Linked DNA regions of Anolis sagrei. The protein of the gene in region 4 binds, or shares a complex with, the protein of the main gene of each other region. Links are inferred from orthologs where the notes say so. Each region holds a gene or a part of one and is shown on either strand. Other genes may lie near its edges.

The links. The genes of interacting proteins can lie anywhere in the genome.
Region 1: OS9 (region 4) and HERPUD1 share a complex: the UniProt entries of both Homo sapiens proteins name them as parts of the HRD1 complex. The link is inferred for Anolis sagrei from reciprocal best matches to the Homo sapiens genes OS9 and HERPUD1.
Region 2: OS9 (region 4) and UBE2J1 share a complex: the UniProt entries of both Homo sapiens proteins name them as parts of the HRD1 complex. The link is inferred for Anolis sagrei from reciprocal best matches to the Homo sapiens genes OS9 and UBE2J1.
Region 3: OS9 (region 4) and FAM8A1 share a complex: the UniProt entries of both Homo sapiens proteins name them as parts of the HRD1 complex. The link is inferred for Anolis sagrei from reciprocal best matches to the Homo sapiens genes OS9 and FAM8A1.

The regions. Positions count from the first base shown.
Region 1 is NC_090028.1:6,191,450-6,198,460, reverse strand, and holds the start of HERPUD1 (homocysteine-responsive endoplasmic reticulum-resident ubiquitin-like domain member 1 protein), read left to right. Parts: upstream 1-3,992; 5' UTR 3,993-4,040; coding exon 4,041-4,187; intron 4,188-7,011. UniProt on the Homo sapiens protein: Component of the endoplasmic reticulum quality control (ERQC) system also called ER-associated degradation (ERAD) involved in ubiquitin-dependent degradation of misfolded endoplasmic reticulum proteins.
Region 2 is NC_090021.1:104,920,761-104,928,422, reverse strand, and holds the start of UBE2J1 (ubiquitin-conjugating enzyme E2 J1), read right to left. Parts: upstream 3,020-7,662; 5' UTR 2,850-3,019; coding exon 2,819-2,849; intron 1-2,818. UniProt on the Homo sapiens protein: Catalyzes the covalent attachment of ubiquitin to other proteins. Functions in the selective degradation of misfolded membrane proteins from the endoplasmic reticulum (ERAD) and is essential for cells to recover from ER stress.
Region 3 is NC_090024.1:81,811,937-81,819,313, forward strand, and holds the start of FAM8A1 (protein FAM8A1), read left to right. Parts: upstream 1-4,358; 5' UTR 4,359-4,410; coding exon 4,411-4,891; intron 4,892-7,377. UniProt on the Homo sapiens protein: Plays a role in the assembly of the HRD1 complex, a complex involved in the ubiquitin-proteasome-dependent process of ER-associated degradation (ERAD).
Region 4 is NC_090022.1:186,669,052-186,676,038, forward strand, and holds the start of OS9 (protein OS-9), read left to right. Parts: upstream 1-3,977; 5' UTR 3,978-4,029; coding exon 4,030-4,194; intron 4,195-6,987. UniProt on the Homo sapiens protein: Lectin component of the HRD1 complex, which functions in endoplasmic reticulum (ER) quality control and ER-associated degradation (ERAD).

The DNA.
Region 1 (7,011 bases), on a different chromosome or scaffold from region 4:
TCTCCCTCTTTCTCCTTCCATCCTTCCCTCCTACACTTTCATCCTTCCCTCTTTCCTTCCTCCTTTCCTCTCTCCCTTTCTCCTTCCATCCTTCCTTCCCACCCTTTCATCCTTCCTTCCCTCTTTCCTTCCTCCGTTCCTCTCTCCCTCCTTCTCTTTCCATCCTTCCTTCCCTCCCTCCCACCCTTCCTTCCTTCCCTTTTGTCTATCCTTCCTTCCCTCTTCCTCCTTCAATCCTTCCCTTCTTCCCTTTAATCCTTCCTTCTCTCTTTCCTTCCTCCTCCCCTTCCTTCTTTCCATCACTGGGCAGCCTGTCCTCCTAGCATGCGACCCCCAAGTTAGAAAGTTTTCCCAGGCCTGCTCTAGAGGGATCATGGTTGAGGTTCAGTGTGCTCTCTGGCTGTAAAGTGAACTATAACTCCCACTATGGTCAGTCGTCAGACGTGGTTGCCATCATTACTATTATTATCCTGCTTTTCTCTTCCAAAGGTGATCTTTACTGCCATAGAAGGCAGTTTCAAAGCTGCTTTAAAGCATTGAAGACTATTATCTGAAACCTCGAAGCAATTTCCCAGGAAACCTTGCCCATAGTGGTGATTTATGGTCTCTCTCTGTATGCGCAGGTGTTTCTTTCGCATGGCTCCAGGGAGGAAAAAGGCTCCCCCCTCCCCGACCAAACTGATGCAATGCAGCAGCAAGTTGCAAAATAGGCCGTCAAAAGAAAGCTCAAAATGGACTAAACAGGGGCCCCAAATAAGATTTTAGCAACTCACTTTTCCAAGGAAGGCATAATCTACATAAATAAAAACGTAATGTTCGTTTGTGAGATTAACGCAACTTGAAAACCACTGGACGAATTGACAGCAAATTTAGACAGAATATATCTATCAGGCCAACGAATGACCATCTATATATATATAAATGCTCTGTGCATAATGCGTACCTTAAAAACAAAAGAACCAATGAACGAAATCACACCAAATTTGGCAACAAAACATCTCACAACACAAAGAGTGACCATCACTCAAAAAATTATGATTTTGTCATTTCAGAGTTGTAGTTGCTGGGGTTTATAGTTCACCTACAATCAAAGAGCATTCTGAACTCCACCAGCGATGGAATTGAACCAAACTTGGCACACCAAACTCCCATGAGCAACATAAAATACTGGAAGAGTTTGGTGGGCATTGACCTTGAGTTTGGGAGTTGTAGTTCACCGTCATCCAGAGAGCACTGTGGACTCAAACAATGATGGATCTGGACCAAACTTGGCACAAGCACTCAATATGCCCAAATATGAACACAGGTGGAGTTTGGGGGAAATAGACCTTGACATTTGGGAGTTGTAGTCACTGGGATTCACAGTTCACCTACAATCAAAGAGCATTCTGATCCCCACGAACAACAGAATCGGGGCAAACTTCCCACACAGAACCCCCATGACCAACAGAAAATACTTAAGGCCATCCAGTCCAACTCTCTTCACCAGGGCAAGAAAATGGAATCAGAGCGCTCCTGACAAAGAGCCATCCAGCCATAGATATAGATAGATACGATTCACACACAGATATAGTATCATAGATTTGAAAGGGACCCCTGAAGAAGGACAATTGTATGTTGCATATTTCAGAGTAGACAAACCAGACACTCTCCACATCAACACTGACAAAGAAACAACAAGAAATACCGTTTACTCACAAGCATAATTATATATATTAGAAACCAACACTTTCTCATTACTTTATTTCCCAGATCAACAGTCTGGGCCACAGCAACGCATGGCAGGGGACAGCTAGTATTATATATAATTAATATTATTGTATATATTATATTATATTGGTACTAATATATTAATATCATAGGTATAATAAGTATATATTTCACTATAATGTTATATTCTATTATTACTAATATATAATTATAATTATTATATTATGTAATATATTTATTATGTAACACTATTAATAACAATACAACAGTACATATATATATATAATACTATTAATAACATTATAGTGAAATATCAATGTTATTATATTATATAATTTATTATATTTATTATATTTATTACATTTCTATTGATAGAAATGTATTAAATGTAATATATTATATTATATTGGTACTAATATATTAATATAATAGATAAGTATATAATTCACTATAATGTTATTAATAATATAATATAATATAATATAATATAATATATATTACACTATAATGTTATTGGGAGCCACTGGTGGCACAGTGAGTTAAAGCACTGAGCTGCTGAGCTTGTTGGCCGAAAGGTTTCACGTTCGATTCCAGGGAGCGGCGTGAGCTTCCGCTGTCAGCCCTAGCTTCTGCCAACCTAGCAGTTTGAAAACATGCAAATGTGAGTAGATCAATAGGTACCGCTCCGGCGGGAAGGTAACGGCGCTCCATGCAGTCATGCTGGCCACATGACCTTGGAGGTGTCTATGGACAACGCCGGCTCTTTGGCTTAGAAATGGAGATGAGCACCAACCTCCAGAGTCAGACATGAATGGACTTAATGTCAGGGGACTACCTTTTACTATATATATAATACTATTAATAACATTATAGTGAAATATCAATGTTATTATATTATATAATTTATTATATTTATTATATTTATTACATTTCTATTAATGGAAATGTATTAAATGTAATACATTATATTATATTGGTACTAATATATTAATATAATAGATAAGTATATATTTCACTATAATGTTATTAATAATATAATGTAATATATTTCACTATAATGTTATTAATAATATAATATAATATAATATAATATAATATAATATATATTGGTACTAATATATTAATATGATAAGTATATATTTCACTATAATGTTATTAATATAATGTAATATATATTTTACTATAATGTTATTAATAATATAATATATATTATATTGGTACTAATATATTAATATGATAAGTATATATTTCACTATAATGTTATTAATAATATAATGTAATATATATATCACTATAATGTTATTAATAATATGATATAATATAATATATATTATATTGGTACTAATATATTAATATAAGTATATATTTCATTATAATGTTATTAATAATATAATGTAATATATTTCACTATAATGTTATTAAAAATATAATGTAATATATATTTCACTATAATGTTATTAATAATATAATATAATATAATATATATTATATTGGTACTAATATATTAATATGATAAGTATATATTTCACTATAATGTTATTAATAATATGATATAATATAATATATATTATATTGGTACTAATATATTAATATGATAAGTATATATTTCATTATAATGTTATTAATAATATAATGTAATATAATATAATAATTATTATAGTGGTACTAATATATTAATATGATAAGTATATATTTCACTATAATGTTATTAATAATATAATATAATATAATATAATATAATAATTATTATAGTGGTACTAATATATTAATATGATAAGTATATATTTCATTATAATGTTATTAATAATATAATGTAATATATATTATATTGGTACTAATATATTAATATAATAGATAAGTATATATTTCACTATAATGTTATTAATAATATAATATATATAATATATAATATATATAATAATATAATATATAAACACCTGCAGTGTTTAACATGTTATATATATATATATATATATATATATAAAACATGTTAAAATATATATTATAATTATATAATAGTAATAATAGACTATACTGGTCTCCATCTCATCTTCCCAGCCATCCAATGGGGCTACACAACGTCAACCAATGCCAATGAGATGGACAGCAACATTGCTGAGGCTCTGGCCCCGCCCACTTCTTCCGCTTTCTTTCTCCCCCCGCCCCTTCCGCTGCTGATTGGCCCACGTCCCGCCTCGCTGGCCAATCCGCGAAGGCCAACAACGAGGGGGGCGGAGCCAAGCAGAGTCTATATAAGGGGCCTTCCTGGGCGTGACTTCACGCTGTCGTCACCGGCGGCGGAGGAGAGAGGGAGAAGGTGCTGTGCCGTCATGGAGCCCGGCGAGGCCTCAGGCCTGGTCTCCCTGCTGGTCCGGAGCCCCGCGCAACGCCACGAGGACTTGCCTCTCTCCGCCCGGCGCTCCTGGAGTGTCCGGCGCCTCAAGGCCGAACTCCGCCGCCTGCACCCGGAAGCCCCGGTGAGGCCTTGGGAACAGCTGCGATACCCGGATGTAATGCTTGGGTTGACGTCGGCGCCGCCATCTTCCTTTTGGGCAAAGCGGGAAGAGAAGCCATTCGGGGGGGGGGGGGGGGATACAGCTCCCAGAATCCACCTTTTGGGGAAACTAAAACTCCCAAAGATAATGATAATAATTCCACAGAGATTCTTTTGGGGGTGGATTGGGAGTTCTAGTTCCCCCAAGAGTTAGAAAACATAATAATAGTAGTAATTCTACAGAGATTGGGGGTTATAGTTCCCCCAAGAGTTAGAAAATACAATAATAATTCCACAGAGATTCTTTTGGGGGAGGATTGGGAGTTATAGTTCCCTCAAGAGTTAGAAAATATAATAATACTAATAATTCCACAGAGAATTTTGGGGGAAAATTGGGAGTTATAGTTCCCCCAAGAGTGAGAAAATATAATAATTCAATAGAGAGAGTTATAGTTCCCCCAAGAGTTAGAAAATATAATAATAATTCCATAGAGATTCTTTTGGGGGAAGATTGGGAGTTGTAGTTCCCTCAAGAGTTAGAAAACATAATAATACTAATAGTTCCACAGAGAATTTTGGGGGAAAATTGGGAGTTATAGTTCCCCCAAGAGTTAGAAAATATAGTAATAATTCCACAGAGATTCTTTTGGGGGAGGGTTGGGAGTTCTAGTTCCCCCAAGAGTTAGAAAATATAATACTAATAATTCCATAGAGATTCTTTTGGGGGAGGGTTGGGAGTTCTAGTTCCCCCAAGAGTTAGAAAATATAATACTAATAATTCCATAGAGATTCTTTTGGGGGAGGGTTGGGAGTTATAGTTTCCCCAAGAATTAGAAAATAGAATAATAGTAATAATAATTCCCCCAAGAGTTAGAAAATATAATAATAATTATTCCACAGAGATTCTTTTGGGGGAGGGTTGGGAGTTATAGTTCCCCCAGAGTTAGATAATAATAATAATTCCATAGGGATTCTTTTGAGGGAGGATTAGGAGTTATAGTTCCCCCAAGAGTTAGAAAATATAATACTAATAATAGAGGAAGAAGTTGCATGGGGAAAGAGGATGAAAAAGATTCCAGGGAGTTTTTTCTCTCTCTCTCTCTCTCTTTTTAAGGGGGTTCTGGGAGTTATAGTTTTCCCAAGAGCTGGAGGTAAAAAGTTTATTATTATTGATAAAAGAAGAAGCAAAATTCCAGGGAGATTCTTTTGGGGGAAGAGTGGGAGGTATAGTTTTTCCAAGAGTTAGATATAGGAACTATAATAATAATGATAATAATAGAGGTAGAGGTTGCATGGGGGGAAGAGGAAGAAAAAGATTCCAGGGAGTTTTTTTTGTTAAGGGGGGGGGGTATGGGAGTTATAGTTCTCCCATGAGTTGGAGGTAGAAAATATAATAATAATAATAATAATAATAGAGGAAAAGGAAGGAGAAGAAAATCCAGGGAGATAATTTGGGGAGATGACTGGGAGTTATAGTTTTCCTAAGAGTTAGAGATAGGAACTGCAATAATAATAGAGGAAGAGGTTGCATGGGGGATGAGGAAGAAAAACATTCCAGAGAAATTCTTTTTTTTAAAGGGGGGTTCTAGGAGTTATAGTTCCCCCCCCCCCCCGAATGAGTTGGAGATTAAAAATGTTATGTATTATTATACTTATAGAAGAAGAATTTGCATGGGGGGGGGGAGAAAGAAAAAGATTTCAGAGAGTTTTCTCTCTCTTTTTAAAGGGAGTTCTGGGAGTTATAGTTCTCCCATGAGTTGGAGATAGAAAATAGTATTAATTAATAATTATTATAGCGGAAAAAGAAAAGGAAAAAAATTCAGGGAGATTCTTTTGGGGGAGGATTGGGAGTAAGTTACCCCAAGAGTTAGAATATATAATAATAGAGGAAGAGGTTGCATGGGGAAAAAGGGTGGAAAAGATTCCAGGGAGTTCTCTTGCTCTTTTTTTAAGGGAGTTCTGGGAGTTATAGTTCCCCTCCAAGAGTTCAAGGTAGAAAAATTATATATTATTATTATTATTATTATACTTATAGAAGGGGATGAAAAAGATTCCAGGGAGTTCTCTCTGTTTTTAAGGGAGTTCAGGGAGTTATAGTTCTCCCATGAGTTGGAAATAGAAAATATTATTAATTAATAATTATTATAGAGGAAAAAGAAGAAAATTATCAGGGAGATTCTTTTGGGGGGAGGATTGGGAGTTACAGTTACCCCAAGAATTAGAAAATATAGTAATAGAGGAAGAGGTTGCATGGGGGAAGAGGGTGGAAAAGATTCCAGAGAGTTCTCTCTCTTTTTATAAAGAGGGTTCTGGGAGTTATAGTTCCTGTCCAAAATATTATTATTATTATTATATATGTGTTATTGTTATTGGAGTCCCCAGTGGTGCAGTGGGTTAAACTGGGGAGCGGTGTGAGCTCTCGCTGTTAGCTGCAGCTTATGTCAACCTAGCAGTTCGAAAACATGCAAATGTGAGTAGATCCATAGGTACCGCTTCGGCGTGAAGGTAACAGCATTCCATGCAGTCACGCTAGCCGCATGACCTTGGAGGTGTCTGTGGACAATGCCGGCTCTTTGGCTTAGAAATGGAAATGAGCACTGTCCCCAGAGTTGGACACGACTGGACTCAATGTCAGGGGAAAACATTTACCTTACCTATTATTATAATTATACTCATAGAGCAGTGGTTCGCAACCTGTGGGTCCCCAGGTGTTTTGGCCTATTATTTATTTACTTACAGTATTTATATTCCGCCCTTCTCACCTCGCAGGGGACTCAGGGCGGATTACAATGTACATATACATGGCA
Region 2 (7,662 bases), on a different chromosome or scaffold from region 4:
ATTTCTTTGAGTGAAACCAACAGTTTGTTTTGTTGCTGTGTGCCTTCAGATCATTTTGAATTAAGGTAAACTTATTGCAGGGATTTCTTGGTAAGATCTGCTCTTCGGCTGAGAAAGTGTGACTTGCTCAAGGTAACCCAGTGGGGTTTCTATGGCTGAGTGGGGATTCAAACCCTGATCTCCAGAGTTGTAGTCCAATGCTCAATCCACTACATCACTAGCGGGCTTTTATCGCTGAGTGAGGACCCCAAACCCTGTGCCCAACACACAAACTACTGGACCATCCTGGCTCTCCTGGGGTCATCACAAGTCAACAGGTCTTTTGATGGGACATATATACACAAACAGCGAAAAGTTGCTACTTGGCTCCACAATCCTTAAAATAAGAAGAAATGAGAAAAAGCATATACAGGCAGTCCCACGTTATGAACAAAATAGGTTCTGTAGGTTTGTTCTTAAGTTGAATTTATGTGTAAGTTGGAACAGATACATTTAGTGTAACTCCAGCCACACACACATATATATACAGGGTGAGGAAGCATAACTTCTTTTTTTCAAAACTTAATAAAACCCATTATATGAATCAGAAAAAAAAATTTATAATGTAGGCGCATACCTAAAGTTTTGTTTTACATAGTTTTGAAGATCAAATTAGGTAGGTGACGTCCCCCATTCTCCATACACTGAGTAAACCAATTTTTGGCATTTGTCATGACTTGCCATCATAGCAGGCGTTATATTGGCAATTTCTTCCTGGATGTTGTTCTTCAAATCTTGTAGGGTCCTTGGACGGTTCACATAAACACGGGATTTCAAAAAGCCCCATAGAAAAAAATCACAAGGGGCCAAATCTGGAGAGTGGGCCGGCCACTGCAAATAAGCTCGAAAAGTAGGCCTCAACGGCAAAAGCATGCTCCTCACTGTTCCAATGCATGATGACAACTGAATTGTGTCAGGACAAAACTTTATATTCCCACCTCTCGAATGAGACCACTAGCACTCCACTACGTCTTCCACCGACTGAATGGCGCGCATTTAAAAAAAGGAAGTTATGTTGCCTCACCCTGTACCTTTGGACAACATAAGGAAGGGTTAACACCCCTGTGGTGTTTGTTTTGCTACCTGTGCTCCTCTTCAGAAGATTTTACCTCATTTCCTCTCCCTGTGAGAATTGGATTTTGAAAAAACATTGGCTTGTTGTGGAAACAAGGACTGGTGAAAAAGTTTCAGTGGAGATACCTTTTCCCCATGATAATAACTCTTTCAGAAGTAATTTCCCTACAGAGGGGTAGATTTATCTCACTTCCTGTTGTTCCAGCCCCATTCTTAACTAGGGAGTTGCTTGTAAGTTGGAATGTTTGTAACTTGGGGACTGCTTGCAAGGGGTTGTCGTCTAAAGCAGAGAGGGTGTGATTCCACCATCAGGTCACCATGACCCAAATGAAAACCATGTCTAATCAACGCCAAAGCTGTGAGGCTGAAGAAAAACGGCGCTCCAGGGTTGAGGTGACTGAAGGTTCCTCTACACCAGGCCTGGGCAAACTTCAGCCCTCTAGCTGTTTTGGACTTCAATTCCCACAATTTCTCGGTTGTTAGGAATTGTAAGAGTTGAAATACAAAACACCTGGAGGGCTGAAGTTTGTCCAGGCCTGCTCTACACTTTAGGATAATAATAATAAACAATTTTATTTCTATCCCGCCCTATCTCCCCGTGGGGATTCAGGGTGGTTTCCAACAAGCAACGGCAAACATTCAAGCTCATACCAACAAAAACACTATCCTGAGAACTTAAGCAAAGACATTACAAGATATTTTTTACAATTCGACAGCTTAATATTAAAATGCAGACTGACACCACTCGAACTTGCTATGGAATGGGTTGCTATGAGTTTTCCGGGCTGTATGGCTATGTTCCAGAAGCATTCTCTCCTGAAGTTTTGTTCACATCTATGGCAGGCATCCTCAGAGGTTGAGGGGTCTGTTGGAAACTAGGATAAGTGAAGTTTATATATCTCTGGAATGTCCACGGTGGGAGAAAGAACTCTCGTCTATCGTCAAAGGCTTTCGTGGTCGGAATCACTGCGGTGTTCTGAATTTTCTGGGCTGTATGGCCATGTTCCAGAAGCATTCTCTCCAGACGTTTCACCTGCATCTATGGCAGGCAGCCTCAGAAGTTGTGAGATCTTGTCAAAGGCTTTCATGGCTGGAATCACTGGGTTATTGTAGGTTTTTCACATTGTTGTAGGTTTTTCGGGCTCTGTGGCCATGTTCAAGAAGCATTCTCCCCTGATGTTTTGCTTGCATCTGTGGCAAAAATCCTCAGAGGATGCTTGCCACAGATGCTGGAGAAACGTCAGGAGGGAATGCTTCTAGAACATGGCCATACAGCCTGATAAACCAACAACCATTCAGTTGTGAGGTCTGTTGGAAACTAGGAAAATTCTTCAACTTTTGTCTGCTTGAGGCAAGTGTGAATGTAGCAAATGGCTATGGAATGCTGGGATTTGTAGTTCCACGAGATGCTTAAGTCTTCCCTGTCAAGGAGGGCTGGTACCTCCCCGAACTACAAATCCCATGATCCCACAGCCATGGCGGTTGGAGTGGTGCTAGACTGCATCCCTTGCCCAGTATAGAGACACGCCAGCGGGGCCAAAGAAGGAGGAGGCGGTGTTGGTGAGGCTCGGTGCTGCGGCCTAGAGGAGGCCTGGCGCCGCGGTCTCGCGTGAGGGCCGAGCCCGCCCTGCCTACACATTCCAGGGGAAACCGGCATCCCCTCCTGCGCTCGGCCCACCCTTCCCCCTTCTGCTCCTCTGCTCACCGGGGCTCTTGAGGTTGTAGCGGGCCTCCATGGCGGCGCCGAGAAGGGTTCCCTTTCCTTCTCTCCCTCCTCCTCCTCGTCTTCTCAGGCGGCGGCGGCGGCAGAGACGAAACCAGGCCACGTCAGGCTCCAGGCTTTGTTTTGACCCGGCAACTGACGAGGCCGGAGGGGGGAGGGGGAGGAGGCCGCGAGGCGGGGCAGTCGCGAGCCCGCCTCCTTCCCTCCTCCCTCACGCTCTGGCCTTGACGTGTCCCTGGCGACCACGCGCATGCGCCCTCAGGCCGGCTTTCCTCCGCCCACACAATGCTTGGGAATCCTGGGAGCTGGAGTTTGCTGAGACAGAGAAGGGGAAAGACATTGCAAACCCACAACTCCCACTCTCCCATAGCATTCAACCACAGCAGTTCCACTGCACCCATTCTCCTGTGAAGACTGCCATCCTGGGCCCAAACTGTGCTTACTATTCCCTACTTGCCTGTGGCAGACAGGACAGCCTACATGTACCAGGGGCGTTCATTAAAGATTTCCCCTGACCCACTTCCTGTGGGTGAAAATTGCTGGAAGAAACATTAACAACCTTCGATATGCAGATGACACCACTTTGATGGCCGAAAGCAGGGAGGAGCTGAGGAGCCTTCTAACCAAGGTGAAAGAAGAAAGTGCAAAAGCTGGGTTGCAGTTAAACATAAAAAAAACCAAGATTATGGCAACAAGAATGATTGACAACTGGGAAATAGAGGGAAAAAACGTGGAGGCCGTGACAGACTTTGTATTTCTAGGTGCAAAGATTACTGCAGGCGCAGACCGGCCAGGAAATCAGGAGACGCTTACTTCTTGGGAGGAGAGCAATGTCCAATCTCGATAAAATAGTGAAGAGTAGAGACATCACACTGGCAACAAAGATCCGCATAGTTAATGCAATGATATTCTCTGTAGTAACCTACGGATGTGAGAGCTGGACCTTAGGGAAGGCTGAGCGAAGGAAGATAGATGCTTTTGAACTGTGGTGTTGGGGGAAAGTGCTGAGAGTGCCTTGGACAGCGAGAAGATCCAACCAGTCCATACTTCAGGAAATAATGCCCGACTGCTCATTGGAGGGAAGGATAGTAGAGGCAAAGATGAAATATTTTGTCCACATCATGAGAAGAAAGGAAACCTTAGAGAAGACAATGATGCTGGGGGAAATGGAAGGAAAAAGGATGAGGGGCCAACCAAGGGCAAGATGGATGGATGGCATCCTTGAAGTGACTGGACTGACCTTGAAGGAGCTGGGGGTGGTGACGACCGACAGGGAGCTCTGGCATGGGCTGGTCAGAAATGACTGAACAAATGAACAACAATAACAAAACGCCTCGGTTGTACAAGTTGACAGGTTTCTCCAAAAGCCACGTTGTGACTTCGGAAATCAGAGTCTCATCGTCTGAAAAATGCTTGCCCTTCAAAAATAACTTCATTGTTTGAAAGAGGTGTGTAATGGAATATCTAATTATAATGTAAGTTTTGAATGTGTTTATTAATGTTGGTATATCGTAAGTGCAGGCCAGCCTTAGCTACAGCTGATTGGTTGATGCGTTGCCATAGTAGCGAAACCTGCAGTAGAAATGTATCCATTTCAGAAGAGCTAGGAGGAAAAAGGGGAGGAGCTAACTGACAACAGAAGAGTCGACATTTTAAAATATGAGCCAGTCTTTAGCAGGTTGAGCTAAAGGGAAGATGTGTCTGGTTGTGTGAGAGCTGGATGATTATAAAGTTTAAGTCTTCAGCCTTGATATTTAAAGTGTTAAAGGAGCCATTCTGAATTGGCTCAAGAGCAGTACATGTGAAAAAGATCTTGGGAGTCCTCATGGACAACAAGTTAAACATGAGCCAACAGTGTGATGCGGCGGCAAAAAAAGCCAATGGGGTTTTGGCCTGCATCAATAGGAGTATAGTGTCTAGGTCCAGGGAGGTCATGCTATCCCTCTATTCTGCCTTGGTTAGATCACACCTGGAATACTGTGTCCAATTCTGGGCACCACAACTGAAGAGAAAAATTGACAAGCTGGAATGTGTCCAGAGAAGGGTGACTAAAATGATCAAGGGTCTGGAGAACAAGCCGTATGAGGAGCAGCTTAAAGAGCTGGGCATAGAAATGATCTCAAACATATCTGTAACTGACTGATAAGTTGTGTACCTGTGTATGCTGAACACATGAAGGTTGTGAGTAAACCAAATATGTTATTTTTTAACCAAAGTCTGTTTTGTCTCTTGAGTGCATAATATAAAACAAGTTGTCTTATGAGAGAGTACATTTTGGGCACTGAAAAATACATCTGAAGAACGGATATTTTTAATGCACTGGCATATTCTCTGTTTCCTAAAAGATCAGAGACAGCAGATCATTCAGTCTAACAATTGAAGCCAAACTGCCTTGCATATTTACATTTGATTGTATACCACTTGAGAAGATTATACTCAAACAGGTTTTTGGCTCTTCTCTAAAAGGTTATGAGCTTTTCAGACATTTCATGTTGGGAGTACATTTTTTAGACAGGCATCATTTTGCGACACATAATTCGGTTTTACCAGCAAAACGTAGGTTAGACCAACTTTGTATAAGAGATACGGACTCATACAAAAATTGTAATAATGAAATTTAGAGATACACAACATATCTCAAGAAAACATTTCATATATATGATTTGTAAGATACGGTAATATAAATTTCCACTTGTCACTTCTCCTTGTAGACACTGCAGCCAACACACAGCTCGAGAACCTCTGATCTAGAAGAGCAAATATTATTACAGTCTCAGTCACAAGAATGATATGGTCTGGTTACATATTATTTGCCCAGATTCAGCTACAAGGGTAGGAAGCAAACCTGGCAGTTGTCAAGTCCTTTGGATTTACAAAACATCTTTGCCAGGACACATGTGTTTTACATGAAATAGCTAGAATCCTTTCTGGCACAATGCAGAGGAGGGATTTGCCAGCAATTAAACAAAAAGGCCTCCCTAGCCAAATCCTCACGCATACTAGGAGGGAATAAGGAAGGCGGCCTAGAATATTAAATTATTGGATGTAAATGCGTACTGCAGCCTACCAACTGCAAAGGGTCATGTCTCCCAGGGTGACTTTTTGCAGTTGGCAAGCAATACCTCTTGGGGTGCAGTTTGACAACACTTTAACTTTCATGGCTCAATGCTTTGTAATCCTGGGAGATGTAGTTTGACAAGGTCTTTAGCCTTCTCTGTCAAAGAGTATTGGTGCCTCCCCAAAACCCCAACCAACAGACTAGATCTTGAAACTCTGGGACCACTCACACCGCTGAATTAGTGTAATTTTACAGATGGGTACAATTCTCATAAAATCATCAATCCCAGAATTCCACAGCAGTTAATATGGCGTCAAACTGCTGCAATTCTACTGTGTGGAAACAGCCTGTTTGCTTCTTTGAGTCAACTCCCATTTTGAAGCAACTGTTCTTTGTTATCTAGTTATTTGTATACTTTATCACTGTTGGTCGGTTCTGCCATAATACTTGCCATTGTGTATACAAGATAGTTCTGCAGGTTTATTCTTAAGTTGAATTTATATGCAAGTTGGAACAGATACATTTTTTAAGAGTAACCCTGGTGATATATATGTGTGTGCTATTCAAAAACTCACACTCTCTGTCTCCCCTTCCCCCCTCTCTTGCTGTGTGTGTGTGTTGGATAGCACAGGGAAGGGTTAACATCCCTGTGGTGTTTGTTTTGCTGCCTGTGGCCCTGTTCAGCAGATTTCCCTTCACTTTCTATCCATGTGATCATTGGATTTTGAAAAATATGGCTTGTTGTGGAAACAAGGATTGTTGATAAAGCTTCAGTGGAGACACCTTTCCCCCATGATAATAACTCTTCCAGGAGGTTGACTTCCCTCACTTCCTATTGTCTCACCCCCGTTCTTCACTACGAGTCATTTGTAAGTCAGATGTTTGTAACTTGGGGACTGCCTGTATTTTGATTCTGCAGTCCTTTTGACCATCATAGCCATTCAGTGGAATGAAAGTTAACTTGATTTAATGACTTTGTTGGATACTTTTGGATTTGCTTTGCACTTTGGGCTTGGAAAAGGTACAAAACTGAGAACCAGCTAGAGGAGTTAACTCTTTTACCAATCTGTTTGCACAGATGTCATTACTGCTGCAATCAGTCACACAGGCACTTTGATTTTAGTTGATTCAGAACAATGTAAACCCTCTGAGTGTCCATCTTCTATTTGCCGTGATCTGGGAAGGATCACATCCTGATGTAGGTGCTGTATATATCCAGCAATTCTTAAGTCTGGGTAGGATTTGTGTGAAGACCCAATTCGATCCTTGGCTGTGAGAGTGTTGGACTCTATCAGAGAAAGGGTTTGAGTGCTTCTCTGCTGTGTACCATCTGCTGCAGCATTTACTGTCAATAATGTTTTATGCTCTAGTGATATTATATGTGCGTGTTTAGTGCTAGAACAGTTGGCGAGGCCGGAAACTACGACCAGTTCCAAAGCAAGACATGTGTTGAATAAATTTCCTCTTTAAATTGTTTTGTTTTGGATATGAGTTATTGGCTCCATTATTGAAGAGACAGGAAGAAGTTGCCTATAAACATTTTTTGGGCGTAAGTGATATCATGGGTACCACTCCTGCAGATATGAGGATCATATGATAATCCCTAATATTATTTTAAAAACAGGATAATAAGAACACCACTTAGAAATGAACTAAGTTCAGCACAATACCAACATTAGGGATGTGGGGTGCTATTTTAAAACTAAATGTTCATGTTCAATGCAGATCCTCCTGATTTGAAAAAAATAGGCAGTTTGAGTATTACTTC
Region 3 (7,377 bases), on a different chromosome or scaffold from region 4:
GTACATGCCATTTTTCAATAGTAAACTTATCACATGAATGAAAATAAAAATGTAACTTGTTTACATTGTAGAAGGAATGATTTATTGTATAAGCATATATATTATTTTTCATACAGATATAAGTCTAGTTTCATGAGCTATATTAGAAAGCTTTTTAAAATCTTTAGGTAATTTTTTTACAACTAATAAATCCTAGTTTTCATATACACAGACTGTATTCAGATGTAAGAATTTACCATTATTAGAAAAAACTGCTCCATTGATGTGACTATAAAAAGATTACAATATTTTGTTTCTATTTTAAATTAATCATAGTTTAACGTGTTACCTGAATACTAAAGTGTTGTCAGCTGGGGTTTGTTAAAACAAACCAGTTTCATAAACTATTATTTGAAGTTGACTTTTATTACAGATTATAATAATTAAAGTTAATTATAATTTAGGGCTGAGAGGACTAGCTAAATGCTACAGGATAATGGCCACGTGAGAAGTATGTCACTTTTTTTTAAAGTTTTACTATGGTTTTTTCTTATAAAGATAAATCATATTTAGTTTTAAGTCTGAACAAAGCCATTATTATCATTTGGTGTCATCAACAAATCCATCCCTACTATGAATAGGACTCCCAACATACAGCACTGGGAACTGTTTGGCCTTTGCAATATTGGGTGAAAATGTCTATGCTATTTCTGAACAGCCCTAGCTTCTTCCCCTTCCCAGAATCCCATGGGTAGTTTTCATGAGCTAATGAAGCTCCATCCTTGGAGGCTTTTAAACAGAGGCTGGATTGCCATCTGTTGGGTGTGCTTTGATTGTGCTTTTATCCTGCATGGCAGGGGGTTGTACTAAATGGTCCACGTGGTCTCTTCCAGCTGTATTATTCTGATTCTATGAAAGGGCAAGAAGACCAGCCAATCAGCAGTTGTTAGTTGGCGAAGAGATGGAGCTAAAGTCTTCATTTATTCCACTTTCTGGCAGTATATGCCACACTCTCAGCAATTTGCTGGCAATTCACACCAGAACTTCCTGTCTTAAGATTTTCTAAAAATTCAATATTTTCGAATGCGCTCCTTGATTCCTGCCCCTTTGTGGGTTTCCTGATAAACATTTACAATAAAGCATCCGGTCAAAGAACAGATCAGATTATGTGGAATCGAGAAGACACAAAACTTCAGTCTCAAACAAGACTACAGTATTGTTTTGGGATCTCACAGTAGGAGGAACCTAGAAACAAAAGCCTATTGCTCTAAGCGTATAATTCAGCTTGTAATTAAATTTTGTTAGGTCCTTGCTCCGACAGTCTTAGGGTGTATCTATACTGCAAAATTACTGCAGTCTGATACCTCTTTAACTGCCATGGCCCAATGCCATGAAATCATGGGAGTTAGTAAGTATTAATAAGGTCTTGAGCCTTCTCTGCTGAGGAGCACTGATGACTCACCACTACAACTGCTTGGATCCTTTAGCAGTTAAAACGATGTCAAAATGCATCATTTCTACAGTGTAGATTCACCCTAGGTATGTTGCATCACAATGCCCAGGAGATCCCCAGTAGAGCCCCCTTAACAACTATTGTAAAAGGGTGGGATTATACCACAGAGTATAAGGACTAGCGAAAGTATGCCTCCAGGATTGTTTACAAGTATCCCATGGGCCCCTATGCTCCCCCACAAGCACTCTTTGACATAATTGCTAAAGACCTCATAAAGCTCCACCTCCCATAACTCCATACCAGTGAGATGCGGCAGTTAAAAGAGATGTAGATGCACCCTCAGTTAAGTTCATGAGTGTGGGATTGCTCCTGAAACAGTGCTTTAAAAATAGCAGAGATTGCATTACACACATTTTCATGAAGAATTGTTCTAACTCAATTTTGACGTTTTGCAGATGACCACCAGACTATCTAGGCCAGGCATGGGCAAACTTTCTGACTTGGGGGCCACATGCTAGAACTCCCTGCTAGGACTGGTTGCCTGGTAATGGAAGGAAAGAGAGAACCAAGGAAGGCTAGGATGGTCAGAGAGAGAACAGGGGCACAGACAGCAAGGCAAACACCATAGGAGTGTTCACCCTTCCCTATATCATCCAAAGATAAAAAAAATAGATATTTTTGGCTGGAGTTACACTTAAAAATTTGGCATATTCCAACATATAAACAAATGCAACCTAAGAACAAAGGTACAGAAGCTATCTTGTTTGTAACTTTGGGACTGCTGTACATCTGACTTTTGCTTGTCAACCAAAGTTGAGGTACTGATTCTATATTGCCACCAGGTGGCAGAAAGCCACTGAATATTAAACAATTCCCCAAAACTCCCTGAAGAATGTAACACAGACTGGAAAATATAGAATCCAGCTGCAATCCTGTATATGATGTTGGGGGTTTTTGCCCAGTGCACTTAGACCAATGAAAAACACACCAGAGAGGAGATCCAACTCTTATTTCTCTCTGTGCAGAATAAAGGTGCTAGGGAGTATTTTCCAAAATTAACACAAAGCCAGCATAATATCTAGATTTTCTCATGAAAATTAACAGAACAGTCAGCATTATTTGCATCTACACCTTACATTATTGCAAAAATCTCACATATCCATGTGTGTAGATATATATTCACATCTCATAATAATAATTGGGGGGGGAGGGGGGCATTGCCATACTAAAATCTCCCCCAGGCATGATTTTTAGCATTAAAATGAGCTCTAGAACACTATAGTTGAAAATCAACCTGCTAAATGGGTACATTCTCAATATTTGGCTCTTCTTTCTTAATTACTGCCTGGTACCTATTTATACTTTCTTATCTTAGAAGATACAATCCAGAACCATGAGAGCAATCTAAGAGGCCTTTGAAATGAAAATAACTCAAGCTCATTTGCTATATAGTCTTTTAAAATGGAACTGTATTTCTTTTAGCATAAACAAATTAGTAGGTAAAAGATCTCATTGGATTCAGTATGGCTTACATTTGAGTAGACATGTGGGATTGCACTGTCAATACGTTAATTATTTAATGAAACATGTTATATTTAAATGCAAATATATCTTCTAAAAACCACATATGCAATTATGTAGTATGTACATTATCAGTAGAGACATCACACTGGCAACAAAGATCCACCTAGTCAAAGCCATGGTATTCCCTGTAGTAACCTACGGATGTGAGAGCTGGACCTTAGGGAAGGCTGAGCGAAGGAAGATAGATGCTTTTGAACTGTGGTGTTGGAGGAAAGTTCTGAGAGTGCCTTGAACTACGAGAAGATCCAACCAGTCCATCCTCCAGGAAATAAAGCCCAGCTGCTCATTGGAGGGAAGGATACTAGAGACAAAGTTGAAGTACTTTGGCCACATCATGAGGAGACAGGAAAGCCTAGAGAAGACAATTATGCTGGGGAAAGTGGAAGGAAAAAAGAAGAGGGGCCGACCAAGGGCAAGATGGATGGATGGCATCCTTGAAGTGACTAGAATGACCTTGAAGGAACTGGGGGTGGTGACGGCCGACGGAGATCTGGCGTGGGCTGGTCCATGAGGTCACGAAGAGTCGGAGACGACTGAACAAATGAACAACAACAACACATTATCAGCACTGTATACCGAAGGGCCACTCTATCAATATAGGCAGAGCTAAAGCAGAAAACAGTAGTCTATTTGAATAAATGTAAAGGCATAGAGCTAGGCTTGAACTGAGCACCAGCAAAATAAAAACATACCTTTATCAGAGAACAGGATTATAGCTGACAATCAAAGCAATTACTGACCTGACCTATTGCTTGAATGCAAACTATCCTGTTCTGCCCTTTGCCATTACTCCATTTACCTTCTGCCTGGTTAAGGGTTTTGGAGCAACTGAAAGCTTATACAGCATTTGTGACCCCCAAGAAGTCTCCCTCTCTGCCCGCTTTGTTTTGGCTGAAGGGCTCTTGGTAGGTATTTTTTTTTTCGTGTCAGGAAAAACTTGAGAAACTTCAAGTTGCTTCTGGTGTGAGAGAATTGGCCGTCTGCAAGGGCGTTGCCCAAGGGACGCCCGGATGTTTTGATGTTTTACCATCCTTGTGGGAGGCTTCTCTCATGTCCCCGCATGGGGAGCTAGAGCTAACAGAAGGAGCTCATCCGTGCTCTCCCCGGATTCGAACCTGCAACCTGTCAGTCTGCAGTCCTGCCTGCACATGGGTTTAACCCACTGCGTCACAGGGAGCTCCTTGGTGGCGCATGCGCCTCCCAAGAGTCAAAGCGAAGTGGGACATTCCAATCCATAACCTGACCTCTGCCCTCTCCCTGTAGCCCCGCCCCTGAAATGTTGACGTCACAGCGGGGCGGTTGCGTCAGGAGGGAAAAAGAGGACAGTGGGCGGGGACCTGGGCGTGGGACGCGCATGCGCAGTGGGCAGCTCAAACAGTGACAGGGCCGGGGCTATGGCAGAGCCCTCGGAAATGCCTTCTGTCGACGGCGCTGGTCCTGAGGGAGGCGGAGGAGGAGAAAGAAGGAGAAGAGCAGGCGCTGCTTCTTCTTCTCCTTCCTCCTCCGTTCCTGCTGCCGCCTCGGAAGCCCTCAGTGCCGCAGAGTATTCCCGGCGCGTCCACCAATGGCTGTGGGACTCCTACTGCGGTTACCTGAGCTGGCAGACCAGCGGCCTGGCTGCCCTCATGGCCGGAGCCGTGACGACGACGGCGACGACGGCGGGCGCGGCCTCCTCCACATCTCCGAACCCGGGCGCGTGCTGTTACTACGGCAACGTCCCCACCTGCTACTACCTCCTCGCGACCGCCGCTCCAGAGGGCAGGCCCGCCCCCGTTGCCGGGCAACCGCCGCCCCCCGCCGCTAGGCACGCGCCCCCGGCTCCGCGCGCCGGCCCCGCCCCCAGCAGCGTCTCCAGGGAAACCACCCGGCCCGCAGGTGAGCAGAGTGGGAGAGGGCCCATCATCAACAACAACACACAGACTGGGCCTATCTGAAAGGCCCCACATTTGGTTACTTGTGGAGCATTTTGGATAAGGGGTACACAACCTGTATGTCGTTCTTATGTACACTATTATTTATTTATTTGCGACATTTATATGCCGCCCTTCTCACACCGAAGGGGACCCAGAGTGGCTTGCAATATATATATATATATATATATATATATATATATATGCACATATAATCTATATATATATAAATGCTCTGTGCATAATGAGTACCTTAAAAACAAAAAAACCAATGAACAAAATCACACCAAATTTGGCAACAAAACGTCTCACAACACAAGGAGTGATCATCACTCAAAAAATTATGATTTTTGTCATTTGGGACTTGTAGTTGCTGGGATTTATAGTTCACCTACAATCAAAGAGCTTTCCGAACTCCATCAACAATGGAATTGACCCAAACTTGGCATACAGAACTTCCATGACCAACATAAAACATTGGAAGGGTTTGGTGGGCATTGACCTTGAGTTTGGGAGTTGTAGTTCACCTACATCCAGAGAGCACTGTGGACTCAAACAATGATGGATCTGGACCAAACTTGGCACAAGCACTCAATATGCCCAAATATGAACACAGAGGGAGTTTGGGGGAAATAGACCTTGACATTTGGGATTTGTAGTCACTTGGATTCACAGTTCACCTACAATCAAAGAGCATTCTGAATCCCACCAACAATAGAATTGGGCCAAACTTCCCACACAGAACCTCCATGACCTGCACAGATGCAAAGGGTTTGTTGACATAGGAGAGAAGGCACCCACAATGCATCTGCTAATGTTTAGTGTGCCACAGGAGATTCTTGTTGAAACACAGTGCAATTCTGTAATCTCTTTATGTATTTTCACTGGTAACTGAGTGTAGGATTGAAGCTGAACAAGGCTGCTCATCTAGAAATATCTGGGTGTGTTGCAGTGTGGGCACATTGGATAAATTACAGTGGGGCAATACTGGAGTCCAATACAAAGAATAGCGAGAGTATCTACTCTGCATTCTCTTTTTTGTTTAGTTTTCATAACTTTTCAGAAAGTCAGCAGTGAGCTATATGAAGAATGCCTCATTTTCTTCTTTTAACTCCTTCACATTATATGTTCTTGCTATAGTCTGATAAAAAGTAGTATCCCTGAAATATTCCATGACAGTAGTATTAGCCTAGATTCATGCATTTAAAAAATGAAACATGAAATAACATAAATAATTAATCCACCTGATTAGAAGTATGAGAGATTTCAACATTTACCATCAACGCACTCTAGAAATAATCCCCATATTAATTGATCTGCTTTTAGAGCAATACAATTCAGAATAGTTTGTGGTTTGAGTCCCAGGGGCTTTGAACCAGAGATCAGTTTTTTTTTCCGCTCATCTCTTTCTTTTTGAACCTGCTTCGTTATTCATAGGCAGTGTGTCAGTGGATATTGCCCAGTTGCTTTCACTTGCAACTAAACAAGCTAAGGACTTTGGTCTGTTTGTTTGTCATAATACCTGAGCTCTGCAGGTTTGTGCTTTAGCTGCTCCATTTGTAAGCCGGTGCTGATGGTTCATCACAGTTTACTGTTAAAAGTCAAATGCGTCTACTGAGTTCCTAGATTTTGTTATTTAGACTTTCTTAGATTCCATCTATGTATCCTAGTTTTCCAGTGGTTTATAATAAAACATAGATAGAAGTTTCCACAAGTTAGTAATATGAAAAAAACCTTAATTCCAAAAGTCGTCTTCATGCCTCTACAATACAAGCTTCATGGAACAAATTTGTGTGGTATTGGTAACAGTATTGATAAGAGGCATTGAATGCATGTGTTGTTTCTGAATGGTTTTTGAATGGACATCTGCCTCCAATATTAATACAGTTTGACACTACTTGGACTGCCATGGCCCAGTGCTATGGAATTGTGGGAGTTAGCTTTATACGGTCTTGAGCCTTCTCTACCTAGGAGTGCTGATGCCTCACCAAACTACAACTACTGGGTTCTTTAGCACTGAGCCATGGCGATTAGAATTGTGTCAAAGTGCATTATTTCGGCAGTATACTGTAAATGAACCCTAGGTGTGCGTGGCATCACAATGGCCAGGAACTGTGGAGCGCCCCCCCACCCAACAGCTTGCAGTATTGTGAAAGGGTGGGTTTATGCCACAGGGTATAAGGAGTAGACAAAGTATGCCTCCAGATTTTTTGTAAGTGTTCCCTGGGCCCCTATGCTCCCCCCAATTTTTTAGCAATACCTCCTAATGTGTGTGTGGGCAATTTCACGAGGAGTACATCTAGACTGTAGAATTAATGTCGTTTGATATAGTTTGAACTGCCATGGGTCAAGCCGTGTTGTAATGGGAGTTGTAGTTTGATAATAACAATAACAGCATCAATAACAATAATTTTATTTCTTACCTGTCTCTCCCCATGGTTCAAGGTGTGT
Region 4 (6,987 bases):
CCTGGAGTTCTCCAGCACCATGTCTCCACTATCTTATAACAGCCTTCTTCAGGCAAGTTGGAATTCTGTCATGTTTTAGCATGACACTGACCACTCCGTCTATTTAGTAAATGAATAGCCTTTTTTTAATAACTCAAGAAGGCCAAGTCTCTAACGCACATATGGCAGTTCGTATCTCTCAAAGAAATCTGTCTACATTCTTGGGTGGCTCAAATTAAAAAGCAATCATCAACAAGTTAGAGTCAAAGTTACATTCACTGCATCTGTACCAATTCTAGTGTCAAAGTCAGAGGGGATATAAGCAATTTCATTTGCCAAATGCCAGATAAACTATCCATAGCAAACTGTTTATGTTCTATGAGTTTCTTGAAGATCTTTTATTCAGAGTGTTCCCCATAGTCATAGAATAATAGAGTTGGAAGCTAATCCAATCTCCTACCATGCAGGAAAAGCACAATCAAAGCACCCCTGACAAATGGCCAACCAGCCTCTGCTTAAAAGCCTCCAAGGAAAGAGCTTTCACCATACTTGGAAGCAGAGAGTTCCACTGCTGAACAGCTCTTACAGATAGGAAGTTCTTCCTAATGTTCAGGTGGAATCTCCTTTCCTGGCATTTGAACCCATTGCTCCTAGTCCTAGTCTTCAGGGTAGCAGAAAACAAGCCTACTCCCTCTTCCTTCTGACATCCTTTCACATATTTAAACATGGTCTTCTCTTCTGCAGGTTAAACATCCCCATCTTTTTAAGCTGCTCCTCATAGGACATATTCTCCAGACCTTTGATCATTTGAACAAGTTCCAGTTTGTCAATATCTCTATTGAATGTTTGTGCACCAGCTGCACCCATACCTTGGGAAGTCTGACTTGGCCACCGTAGTCCACGCTCTTGTTACATCCTGTATAGACTACTGCAATGCTCTCTATGTGAGGTTGCCTTTGAAGACTGTCTGGAAGCTTCAACTGGTCCAATGGACGGCAGCCAGGTTCCTAACTGGAGCGGCTCTCAGGGAGCATACAACCCCCTTGTTGCGCCAGCTCCACTGGCTGCCAGTCTGCTACCAGTCGCAAGTCAAAGTGCTGGCTTTGGCCTTTAAAGCCCTAAACGGTTCTGGCCCATCTTACCTGTCCAAATGCATCTCCCCTTATGAACCTTCGAGGACTTTAAGATTGTCTGGAGAGGCCCTGCTCTCGGTCCCGCCATCATCACAAGCATGGCTGGTGGGGACGAGAGACAGGGTCTTCTCAGTGGTGGCCCCTTGGCTATGGAATGCCCTTCCTAGGGAGATCAGATCGGCTTCTTCTCTTCTAGCATTTCAGAAAAAACTCAAGACATGGCTATTTGAGCAGGCATTTGCGAATACTGAGTAACGGACATAAGAACGGAACAACTACATGATGGGACTGGACATTGTTCTAATGTGTATTTATTGAATTATGTTTTATTAGAGTTGTTATGATTTTATTGATGTTAATGTTTTTATCTTGTAATTGTGTTTTTGGTGGCATTGAATTTTGCCTTGTAAACCACCTCGAGTCACCGGAAGGCTGCGAGGGGCGGTATACAAATACAGTAAGTAAGTAAATAAATAAATATTCTAGGTGAGGTCTAACCAAAGCAGAATACAAAGGCACCAGGACTTCCCTCGATCTACATGCTATACTGCTTTTGATGCAGTCCAAAATCCCATTGGCTTTTTAGTTGCTGCATCAAGGGTCTGGAGATCAAGGGTCAAGGGTCTGGAGAACAATCCCTATGAGGAGCGGCTTAAGGAGCTGGGCATGTTTAGCCTGAAGAAGAGAAGGCTGAGAAGCAGGCCTGTAGCCAGAATTTTGTTTGGGGGGGGGGGGGCTGAGTTTAGTTTGGGGGGGGGGGCTGAGTCTAAGTGAAAGAGGGTCTAAACTAGCAAACCTTTTGTATCGTTACCCCAATACCCCCATGCATATGGAATATATTGAGCATGGTGATCAGATCATGATATGAATAAACATAACAGTTTAAATAATGTACCAGTAAGGCCTTCTCTCAAACCACCATGAGAATTTTGGGGAGGGGAGGGGCTGAAGCCCCCCCCCCCCCCGGCTACATGCCTGCTGAGACGAGATATGATAGCCAAATATAAATATGTGAGAGGAAGCCACAGGGAGGAGGGAGCAAGCTTGTTTTCTGCTTCCCTGGAGACTAGGACGTGAAACAATGGCTTTAAACTACAAGAAAGGAGATTCCATCTGAACACGAGGAAGAACTAGGTTCTTGTGGGTTTTTTGGGGCTATATGGCCATGTTCTAGAGGCATTAGAACATGGAATGCCTCTAGAACATGGCCATATAGCCCCAAAAAACCACAAGAACTTAGTGATTCTAGCCATGAAAGCCTTCGACAATACATGAGGAAGAACTTCCTGTGACAGCCGCTCAGCAGTGGAACTCTCTGCCCTGGAGTGTGGTGGAGGCTCTTTCTTTGGAAGCTTTTATACAGAGGCTGGATGGCCATCTGTTAGGGGTGATTTGAATGTAATATTCCTGCTTCTTGGCAGGGGGTTGGACTGGATGGCCCATGAGGTCTCTTCCAACTCTTTGATTCTATGATTCTATGATCACATTGTTGGCTCATGTTCAACTTTTTGTTCACAAAGACTCCAAGATCTTTTTCACATGGACTTGTTATTCAGCCAGGCATGTAGTTCATTCAGCACGAACAACTGTTAATGCAGAAATTCAGTTGGATATGATCTCATGAAAGCAGTAATCAAAAGGATGAAAAAGTCAGTGGTATTTTATTTATTTATTTCTCATGTCAGGGCAGCCAGTCAATTATATTACATTTCTAACAGAACAAAGCAAACAAACAGAGAAAATACAAAATGTGTGAGTTTGGTAGTTGATTAAATGTCCTTTGATCAGTATCTGGCCACTTGGAGTGCCTCTGGTGTTGCCGCAAGAAGGTCCTCCATGGTGCATGCGGCTGGGCTCAGGTTGCATTGCAGCAGGTGGTCTGTGGTTTGCTCCTCTCCGCACTCGCATGTCATGGATTCCACTTTGTATCCCCATTTCTTAAGGTTGGCTCTGCATCTCGTGGTGCCAGAGCGCTGTCTGTTCAGTGCCTTCCAAGTCGCCCAGTCCTCTGTGTGCCCAGGGGGGAGTCTCTCATTTGGTATCAGCCATTGGTTGAGGTTCTGGGTTTGAGCCTGCCACTTTTGGACTCTCGCTTGCTGAGGTGTTCCAGGGAGTGTCTCTGTAGATCTTAGAAAAGTCAGTGGTGACATCTTTGAATGACTGGGGATCCTTGTTGATGGAAGTGTCAATATAGAGAAAAGAAAATAATGTAGTACCTGTTACCAAGCATGACCCCCTCTTATTACAAATCTAATTTATAATAAGGGAACTTATAGTTTTGCCAAGGACACCTTTTTGGCCAAAAGAGCGCTGGTGTCTCATCAAACTACAACTCCCATGTCACAGAAGTCGGCCAGGGAAGGTCAAACAGCATCAAACTATAGCCCCTTCCACACAATTGACTAAAATCCCACACTATCTTCTTCGAACTGGAATATATGGCAGTGTGGACTCAGATAATCCAGTTCAAAGCAGATATTTTGGGATTTTCTGCCTTGATATTCTGGGTTATTTGGCTGTGTGGAAGGGCCCTGTATTAATTCTGTGTTGTAGGCGCACTCGCCTTCTGCCAGCTTTCCAGTAGGGCAGCCGCTTGCCATTCTGATTGGCTGCTTGGATTGCCTGAACTTCAGCCAATCGGTTTCCACCAGGTTTTTTTAGCCGCGGCTTGTGCAAGCGCTCGCTCCCCTGATTGGCCCAAGGAGTGAACCAATGGCGTTTTACCAGGTTTTTTTTCCCCACCGAAAAGCCTCACTCTCCCCGCCCCTTGGAATCAGCCAATGGTAAGCGCCCTCTGCGATAATTGACACCTCACCGGGACCATTCTCTTCCCTGGGTCAGAACGCGAAGGCAGGGCGGAAGTGGCCGTTGCCTAGGAAGGGCAGAAACAGGCGGAGGGGGCGGCCGTGCGGGGAAGATGGCGGCCAGGTTCCTGCTTTCGAGGTTTTGCGGCCCGCTCCTGCTGCTGCTCTGGGCAGCGGCGCTGGGAGGCGGAGAGGCGCTGGGTTCCTTGAACCTGCTGGAGCTCAGCGAGCTGAAGTACGGGATCGAGATCGGGGCCGAGCCAGTGATGGCCGGGCAGGTAGGCCCACCTGGATGGGGAAGAGAGGAAGGGAAGTGTCATCCATACTGGAGCATTAACGCAGTTTGGTATCACTTGAACTGCCATGGCTCAATGCTGAGGAATCCTGGGAGTTGTAGTTTCACAAGGTCGTTAACTCTGCTGAAGAGGGCTGTTGCCTCCCCAAACCCCTGACTCCCATAATTCCATAGCACTAATCTGGGGCAGTTCAATGTGGGCTCAAACTGCGTTAATTCTACAGTGCAGATGCGCCCCCAGATCTGATGCAACTGTAATTGAACTTGATAAACAAAATCAAGAGTGTAATTGTAATGTTACTTACCGTATATTAAAAACTTAGTGACAGGAAATATAATTTTTGGGTTGTTGTATGTTTTTTCGGGCTATATGGCCACGGTCTAGAGGCATTCACTCCTGACGTTTCACCTGCATCTATGGCAAGCATCTTCAAAGGTTGTGAGGTCTGTTGGAACTAGGAAAAAGGGGTTTATATATCTGTGGAATGACCAGGGTGGGACAAAGGACTCTTGTCTGCTGGAGCTAGGTGTGAACGTTTCAACTGTCCACCTTGATTAGCATATAATGGCCTGACAGAGCCTGGAGCAAACTTTTGTTGAGAGGTGATTAGATGCAGGCAAAACGTCAGGAGAGAATGCCTCTAGACCATGGCCATATAGCTCGAAAAAAACATACAATAACCCAGTGATTCCGGCCATGAAAGCCTTCGACAATATAATTTCTGCTACAGAAATGATTAAGAGAAAAAAAATTTTAGAATTATTAATGTCAGATTTAAATATAGTAGTAGGACCTAATTATATAAAGGAAACGCTTACTTCTTGGGAGGAGAGCAATGTCCAATCTTGATAAAATAGTGAAGAGTAGAGACATCACACTGGCAACAAAGATCCGCACAGTTAAAGCAATGGTATTCCCCATAGTAACCTATGGATGCGAGAGCTGGACCATAGGGAAGACTGAGCAAAGGAAGATAGATGCTTTTGAACTGTGGTGTTGGAGGAAAGTTCTGAGAGTGCCTTGGACCGCCAGAAGATCCAACCAGTCCATACTTCAGGAAATAAAGCCCGACTGCTCATTGGAGGGAAGGATAGTAGAGGCAAAGATGAAGTACTTTGGCCACATCATGAGAAGAAATGAAAGCTTAGAGAAGACAATGTTGTTGGGGAAAATGGAAGCAAAAAGGAAAAGGGGCCAACTAAGGGCAAGATGGATGGTTGGGATCCTTGAAGTGACTGGATTGACCTTGAAGGAGCTGGGGGGGGGGGGGGTGACGGCCGACAGGGAGCTCTGGCGTGGGCTGGTCCATGAGGTCACAAAGAGTCAGAAACGACTGAACGAATGAACAACAAATGTAAAATTTAAGACATTGCTTTTACAAAATGAACAAATGAAGAAACATTTAGAACCGCATACTTGGAATACTAAAAAGGATTTTGTTAAAATTCAATTCCAACATGGAGAAACACAGCGTATAGCTGCCAGGAGAGTGTACTAACTGCGTATCACTGGTATGATATTTTAAAGGAATGCTCGCCAAGAGCTACAGCTTTCTTGCATGTTTTATTACACTCCATTGTGTGGATTTGCAGCGTACTGTTGTTGATTATGAGATAATTGTTATATTTAGTGTAAAGAAAAACAATCAGACTTAATTCAAAAAGATAAAAATGGAAATGCATGTGTTCCAACAGCATTTGTGATTTCAAAATAGAATGTATTTTGATCTCAAGCTGGAAGTGTTTGTGACCAACCTGTGTGCTTGAGCCCTTGTGCTGAAGAAACAAAAGTATCTGTGAAGAAATTGAGAAGCACAATGCATGATGATATGGTGAATTGACAACTAAAGTGAGGATTCTCTGAGAGAGGAAGTATGACCTTCAGAATGGCTGCATGTTATCAAGTAAAGCGGAGCCCCCAGTGGCGCAGTGGGTTAAACCCCTGTCCCAGCAGGACTGAAGACCGACAGGTCGCAGGTTCGAATCCGGGGAGAGGCGGATGAGCTCCCTCTATCAGCTCCAGCTCCTCATGCAGGGACATGAGAGAAGCCTCCCACAAGGATGATAAAAACATCAAATCATCCAGGCGTCCCCTGGGCAACGTCCTTGCAGATGGCCAATTCTCTCATACCAGAAGCGACTTGCAGTTTCTCAAGTCGCTCCTGACTTTTTAAAAAAAAAAATCAAGTAAAGCCACAGGACTAGTCAATATAGGAACTTTAACAAGAGATAACAAGAAAACATTGTTCATTATTACAGTTGTTTGTAAAAACAACACATGCATGCAGATAACAGAAGTTAGAAGGTCTATAAAAAGACTCTCCAGAGAAAATGTGCAAGAATAGCAGTGATCAGTTCTCAACCAGTGATGAGAACTGATCAACTTGGCATGCGGACCTTTTTGTTGTATGAAGAATGATTGTATGAGTGAATGAAAACCTGACATCAAGAATTGTATAGTGAAAATGGAGCGATGAAAGTTACTTGTAAAATGTTTGAAATCCAGATCTGGTGTCTGGGAATCATTTTTCAGATCTATAGTCTTGAGTAAACAGTATTCAGTTTCCCCTCTTCTCTGGATCATAAGAACAAACTGCTTTGGGTTACATTTGTCACTTGCAAACATGAAATGCTGCTGGTATAATGTATGCTAGGCTAGTGAGACTTTCTGCCAGGTTTAGTTGGTCCTTGGTTTCTGTTTTTGTTGGTAAGCATTCCAAGTGCAGAACTTGCTTATTTTTTGTTTATGATATTCATTCATTGAGAGGCAGTGCAC